2 linked regions of the Mus musculus genome follow. Each later gene encodes a partner of the first gene's protein in a complex. Links are inferred from orthologs where the notes say so. Each region holds a gene or a part of one and is shown on either strand. Other genes may lie near its edges.

Region 1 (4,283 bases):
CATGACCCTTAGCCTCTTCCCTCTTCCTAGGAGCTGGTGTATAGACTTTTCTCTAGTGAGGCCGGGGAGGACTTTGGGAATTCAAAAGGACAGTGGCAGGTGATGAGACTTTTCATATCCCTTCCTCTCTACTGTTCTGGCCTTGGCTTCTGCTTTCTTCCAAATACATAGCAATCTTGGCTGCCGGCCTACGTGGGGAGAGGGAGAAAGGACCTGTTGTTTCCTTCCGATTCTCTCTGAAAATAACCTAATTGGAACACAAAGTTCCTGAAATTGTTGGCACCTCCTAGAGTTGATGTTCACTTTTCACTTGTCCCTGCTGCTAACCCAGTCTGCCCCATTTACCCTTCCTCTTGCCAAGGACCTCTGCCGGGGGAATTTGAGAAACTTTCAAAGTGTGAGGGAACTAAGCTGGTTCCAGGGCCTAGCATAGTCAACTGATGTAGCCCGGCACACTAGAGGGTTTGAGAGTTATTGCAAGGTGGTTAAGAGTTAGAACAGGGGCTGGAGAGATGGCTCAGCAGTTAAGAGCACTCACTGCTCTTTCAAAGGTCCCGAGTTCAATTCCCAGGAACCACATGGTGGCTCACAACCATCTGTAACGAGTTCTGACGCCCTCTTCTGGTACATCTGAAGACAGCTACAGTGTAGTCACATATAATAAGTGAGTAAATAGTTCTTCTGGTGCATCTGAAGACAGCTACAGTGTAGTCACATATAATAAGTGAGTAAATAGTTAAAAAATAGTAAATAGTTAAAAAAAAAAGAAAAAAAGAGTTAGAACAGCTTGTATATTAAAAGGGTAGGTGCCTCAATACCTTCGGAATGTTTATTACAGCCCCATTAATCTCTTCTGGATGCCTGATTCCCAGTAATCCAACATTCTTGCTAGTAACTAGGGTAAGATAATAAGGGTAGTGACCACTTCAATTCTGCAGTTGAATTTTAAAATCAAGAAGAACGGATTAGAGTTGATCCTATGCAGTTGATGAAGCAAAGGATTGGAGTGGGTGCCCAGTAAATAGTTGCTGCCTGAGGAATTAAATTCAAGGAGTCTTGAAAGGTGAGTACGTGTAAGCCCCGAGGAGAATCCAGGAACTCAGCTAAGTCCGGAGTATGAGAAGATGTACGTAAAGCAGAAGTGAGATGTAGTGCCAAGGTCTGTGTGAAGTTGGGGAGATCAGCCTGAGCCGTGCTTGGGGCGAAGGGATCACGATGTGGATGGAGACTGGTGTCATCTTGTGGAGAGAAAAGAGGCCTCGCAGGGTAAGGGGCCGGAAGGTCGGAGGAGGGGCTTTGAAACCTGGTCAAGACAAATTCACGTTTGTTATTCTAAGGGTTTCTGACCACAAGCTCCCCTTCCCAGACTCTTGCAGGAATAAGCGTTAGGGATAGACGGGAGTATTCAGCGAGGCTGGAGGTGCGAAAAGACTTCTCTGCATCTCTTTAAGAGGCGGACCGGGGCGGAGTCCTGGGTCACTTCCCCGCCGCCACACCCGCCCAGCGGCAGAAGCAGTTAGGAAGCTCTGCTAGCCTCACGGCCACGGGACGCCTCTCTGAACGGGGATCCAGGCAGGATTAGAGCTGCCTCACTGACTACAGGCCGTGTCGTGTCACCGTTTCTGCAGGCACCATGAGCCAGGACACCGAAGTGGACATGAAAGATGTGGAGCTGAACGAGCTAGAACCGGAGAAGCAGCCCATGAATGCAGCGGACGGGGCGGCGGCCGGGGAGAAGAACGGTCTGGTGAAGATCAAGGTGGCGGAGGACGAGACGGAGGCCGGGGTCAAGTTCACCGGCTTATCCAAGGAGGAGCTACTGAAGGTAGCGGGCAGCCCTGGCTGGGTGCGCACCCGCTGGGCGCTGCTGCTGCTCTTCTGGCTCGGTTGGCTGGGCATGCTGGCGGGCGCCGTGGTTATCATCGTTCGGGCGCCGCGCTGCCGTGAGCTGCCTGTACAGAGGTGGTGGCACAAGGGCGCCCTCTACCGCATCGGCGACCTTCAGGCCTTTGTAGGCCGGGATGCGGGAGGCATAGCTGGTGAGTAGGGTGTGCACCCTCATCCCTTGCCCCCATGAATCCCTCGTTTAATCGGGCATTCTGCTGCTTTTTTCCTTCCTCCTCGTCTTCTCTAGAACGCTGGTGATTCTTTACTGCAACCTATTTTTTTTGGGACGACTCCCTGGCAAAAATCCCCCCCCCTTTCTTTAAAAAAAAAAAAAAAAAAACGCTAGCCGGACCCCTACTTCTTCCTAAGGGTGCCTGACTCAGCACATCATCTTTCTCCTCTCCCCTCCCCCAACCACGCGGCCCTGAGCCAGTTCAAACCAGTTTCTGAAGTAATGTGTGAGACTCCTTGCGTCAGCTACTTTGTCTCATGATCCAACCCGCGTCAGAGGGAGTCGGGAAGTGGTGGAGAGAATGTGGAGGCTGGAGGCTTTTCATGCCCTATTGGTTAACCCAACCCTCTCCTCCTAGGTCTGAAGAGCCATCTGGAGTACTTGAGCACCCTGAAGGTGAAGGGCCTGGTGTTAGGCCCAATTCACAAGAACCAGAAGGATGAAATCAATGAAACCGACCTGAAACAGATTAATCCCACTTTGGGCTCCCAGGAAGATTTTAAAGACCTTCTACAAAGTGCCAAGAAAAAGAGTAGGTCTTTCTAAGGAACTAGAAAGGGTTTGGCATTCTGGCCCAGAAACAGGATAGAGTTTTTGTCTGATTTTTCTCCTAACTGGCTCAGTTTTTTTGTGTCAGGCACAAGGGGGAATATGTTATGATTTACACTAAAAAATGTGCTTCATGCGTGAGCGTAATTTTTATGTATTTATTTTGGTTTTGGTTCTCAGGTAGGGTCTCACCATGTAATTGGTTGGCCTGTACCTGACTACCATGACCAGGCCGGATGAGAGTTTACAGAGCTCCCCTGGTCCCGAGTGCTAGACTTAAGTGTGTCACCATGGCTCGATAAAATAAATGGCTTTTAAATGTATAAAGTAGATCCTATATATAGAAGAGATTCAAATGCTGCTTTAGAGTTCACTATAGAGGGCTGACAACGTAGCTCAGTTTGTAAGAGTGCTTGTCTAGGATCCATGAAGACCTGAGTTTGATTCCTCAGCACAACACAAGCAGCATGTGCCTATAACCCCACACTTGGGAAGGAGATGTAGGGGCTTATTTATCCTCAGGCAGCCCGCCCACATACACAGAACCCTGACTTCATGGGAGGGGAAAATAAGAAAGAAACCAAAACCTCAGTATGGAAACTTGTGTGTGTGTGTGTGTGTGGGCGGAGGAGGAACTGCTCTAGTATAAAACCACCTGAGGGCTTTTGTGGGTTTCCTTCAGATTCTGTGCAAACCGTATGTAGGTTCACCTAGTAACCTGTGTTCAAGTTCCTTGTTTCCTCTTCTTCCCCAAAGGAGTTCTCTCAACTCGTTATTTTTCTAGGCATTCACATCATTTTGGACCTCACTCCCAACTACCAGGGCCAGAATGCGTGGTTCCTCCCTGCTCAGGCTGACATTGTAGCCACCAAAATGAAGGTGAGGTTTTATGGCCGACAGCATACAGATGTTGGTGCTGTGTGGATTTATTCACAGCAAGCCTCCTGTGCACTGTGTGGTTCTCCCAAGCAGGAATACCTCTTCCCATAGCCGGAGGGATAGGCCCAGGTGCACGGTGTTCTTCTTGTTTCTGTTCTGACTGCTTTGTGTGTGTGTGTGTGTGTGTATGTGTTTCCTTTACTCTAGAAGTGAGGCTGTGCCAGGAAGGGAATTTCTCAGATGTCAGTCTGGAACTGGAAGTTTAATTTTTCTTTTTGTGATAGGAAGTCTTTTCTTTCTCTGTGGGAACCCTGACCTGACTGGTTTCCCAGTTTTTGTTTGATGTATTTGGAACTGAGCCCAGTCTGAAATTATAAGTACTAGAGTCTTACTGTGTATCTGGTATTTTATCTTCCCCCATATTTTATTATTTTTTAAAGAGTTAACTCCACTATGAATGCTTTTTAAGATTTGTTTTTATGCATGAGTGTTTGTGCACTATGTGCATGTTTGGTACCCCAGCACTTGGGAGTTTAAGGTTATCCTCAGCAATGGAGATCTAGAACACAAATCTCCCAGCAACTAGCAAGAGCCAAATTGGGTGATTATAGGAGTCTCCAGAGGCAAGACAGAAAATAGAAAGGGTATTGGACAGTCAAGAAAGGATATTGGATCCCCTGGAGCTGAAGTTACAGATAGTTGTGAGCTGCTGCTACGTAGGTGCTGGGAACTGAAC
Region 2 (2,614 bases), on another chromosome or scaffold:
GCTGTGTGCATGCCATGCTAGGGACAATGGGAAGGGAATGCTGAGAATCCTCGGTAACAAATGTCTGATCCTGGTCTTGAAGTAAAGAAAGCCAGGAGGCAGACTACATGAGGAGAGCTGGTAGGGCCTGGAGGGCAGAGGTCAATGTGACAGCTGGGTTCTAGCAAACAGCAGAGAAGCCTCAAGGCCAGGCTCTGGCCCTTATCCATTTTCTTCCCCGTGCCTAGGCTATGCTTCTCTGGAGCCCGAGAGGGACACTTACCCAGCTTCCTGGCCATGATTCATGTCAGACGCTGCACCCCAATCCCTGCCCTCCTTGTCTGTGTAAGTTGGGAAACCCAACCAGGTAGTGTACCTAGCAATGGGGGTTTGGGGGGATAATAGCCAAAACTTATTCCTGCCTATGGTAGATGAGCCATGGAGGGTGGGGATGGGCTGGGACCCACCTGACCTCCTGACCTGAGTGGGAAGGCCCAGAGCAGCCTCCAGGGATGGCCAGAAGCAGGTGGGAGGCCAGCTGTCAGCCCTCGGTCCTCTCCCAGTGCGGGGCCACAGCGGTCATCATGCTCGTGGGTGACACATACACACTCATCAACTATGTGTCCTTCATCAACTACCTCTGCTACGGAGTCACTATCCTGGGCCTGCTTGTGCTGCGCTGGAGACGGCCGGCACTCCACAGGCCCATTAAGGTGAGGCTGGAAATAACAGGGCCATCTTCATCCAAGTTGAGCACTAGAGGCAGGTATAGGTGATGAGGACAATGGGCTATATAGCATTTGCAGAGTGTAGAGCTTTCCACCCTACACTCTCTGACATGTTATCTCCTCTAACCCCAGGAAGCAAGTGTTTTTAATATCCCCAGTACACAGACAGGGGCAATGAGACTAAGGTCACAGAGGCTGCCAATCACAGAGTCTGGTATTCTCATGATCCCACATGAAAGGGTGACAGAGAAGACTCCCATCTGCATATGGATCCTGAAGAGGGCCTGAAATTTGAAGCATGGAAAAAAAAAACAGTTGAGTTGCAGCCAAATGTAAACAGCTTTCTGTGTATAACTGTTACAGACAGCTCAGCACTGCTCAAATAGACAGCCTTAGCAGTTTGGCCAACTGGTCAACCCAGGAATTGCTCTCCAGTACACTGGGTAGCTACCAGAGGGGCCAGCATAGGGGCCCCATTCCCAAGAGATGGAAAAAGTGCTTCTAATCCCCTGGGTGGCAGGAGAACTAGGGTGTTGCTCCCTGGTGCTCCTGTTCACCCTTTCTCCGACAGGTGAACCTCCTCGTTCCTGTTGTGTACTTGGTGTTCTGGGCATTCCTACTGGTCTTCAGCTTCATCTCGGAGCCCATGGTCTGTGGGGTCGGCATCATCATTATCCTCACTGGGGTTCCCATCTTCTTCCTGGGAGTGTTCTGGAGAAGCAAACCAAAGTGTGTACACAGATTCACAGGTGAGAAGGGTCTTGCCACCATGCCTCTTGTAGGATCCCACCCCAGAGCCGGGGCCTTCTATCAGCCTGGCTGGTGACGCAGGACCCAATGACTTTCCTCAAAGCTTCTTGCTACATACACATGTGGCTAGGTTTCATCTGCAAAAGAAGCAACTCCCATCCCAAGGGAGGTATCTGGAGTTAGGGTCATCCCTGTCTTAAAGGATTGCTCCCCTCCTGGCCCCCGCCATTGTCTATCTGTCTGTCTTGTCTGTCTGTTCTTAGAGTCCATGACACGCTGGGGCCAGGAGCTGTGTTTCGTGGTTTACCCCCAGGGCTCCCTAGAGGAGGAGGAAAATGGCCCCATGGGCCAGCCCTCCCCATTGCCCATCACGGACAAGCCCTTGAAGACACAATGAGACCTTGTAGAGACTGGAACAGCCGATTCTGTTTACATGTTGTTTATTGAGAAGGGGGTTGTGTTTTGTTTTGTTTTCAAAAATTTTTTTTCTGCAAAAAAAGAGAGAGAGAGAGAGAGAGAGAGAGAGAAAGAGAGACCCAACCCTTAGAGGCCTATTGTAAGGGACTGGCCACTGGGGTCGGGCTTCCTGCCTTAGCAATGCCCTGCTAGCTTCTCCAGAAATGCCTGTAAATAAACAGGGCTGGTTGTTGCTGTGTGCAAGGGGAGTCCGTGGAAACATGCCTCAGCGCGGTATATGGGCTGCTAGCTGGGAAGGTGCCATGGAAAAGGTTTTCAGCCCTAGTGGGTTTTGCTGGTTGAACTGGAGGCTGCCCAGAGGAGACAGTGAGGCTCCATCTACGACTCAGCGATCCAAGAGAACCCAGAAATCCCTAAGTGGGACTACTGTCCTCCCCCAAAATCACCAGAGTGAATGCTACAACTTCTGATAGCACAGCCCTGGCTTCAGGTGGGGAAACTGAGTCTCTGAGGCAGGACAGGATGGTTGTTTCCATTGTCAGCTGGTGCCTTGACTTCTGTCTCCTGAGAAGGCATAGACTGGCCTCTCTTGCGGTCATCCTATCTCATATACTTTTAGCCTTACCATAATGCTTGGGGACTAATGCAGCCTAGCCAGGCCCATGCTGCTGCCACAGGCACAAGGCTGGGGCAGAAGCCACTGGGCCATCTTCCCCAGGGACCCTGCATGGAAGCACTCA

Evidence for each region.
Region 2: the proteins of Slc3a2 (region 1) and Slc7a10 are in contact, whole or in part, in a cryo-EM structure (PDB 8WNT), measured with the Homo sapiens proteins. The link is inferred for Mus musculus from reciprocal best matches to the Homo sapiens genes SLC3A2 and SLC7A10. Residues at the interface, in NP_002385.3 of Homo sapiens: Phe161, Thr162, Gly163, Leu164, Lys166, Leu169, Leu170, Val172, Ala173, Trp178, Arg182, Leu186, Phe189, Trp190, Trp193, Met196, Leu197, Ala200, Ile203, Ile204, Ala207, Pro208, Arg209, Cys210, Arg211, Glu212, Leu213, Arg534; in NP_062823.1 of Homo sapiens: Leu147, Val150, Phe151, Asn153, Cys154, Pro157, Ala160, Val163, Leu164, Met166, Ala167, Met170, Leu171, Trp174, Ser352, Val359, Glu481, Thr484, His485, Trp486, Gln488, Glu489, Leu490, Phe492, Val493, Val494, Tyr495, Gln497.

What each region holds. Positions count from the first base shown.
Region 1 is NC_000085.6:8,711,098-8,715,380, reverse strand, and holds the start of Slc3a2 (4F2 cell-surface antigen heavy chain), read left to right. Parts: upstream 1-1,483; 5' UTR 1,484-1,628; coding exon of another isoform or gene 1,629-1,633; coding exon 1,634-2,039; intron 2,040-2,477; coding exon 2,478-2,651; intron 2,652-3,452; coding exon 3,453-3,547; intron 3,548-4,283. UniProt on the Homo sapiens protein: Acts as a chaperone that facilitates biogenesis and trafficking of functional transporters heterodimers to the plasma membrane.
Region 2 is NC_000073.6:35,198,998-35,201,611, forward strand, and holds the end of Slc7a10 (asc-type amino acid transporter 1), read left to right. Parts: intron 1-227; coding exon 228-324; coding exon of another isoform or gene 325-346; intron 347-542; coding exon 543-692; intron 693-1,278; coding exon 1,279-1,456; intron 1,457-1,720; coding exon 1,721-1,854; coding exon of another isoform or gene 1,855-1,904; 3' UTR 1,905-2,114; downstream 2,115-2,614. UniProt on the Homo sapiens protein: Associates with SLC3A2/4F2hc to form a functional heterodimeric complex that translocates small neutral L- and D-amino acids across the plasma membrane. Preferentially mediates exchange transport, but can also operate via facilitated diffusion.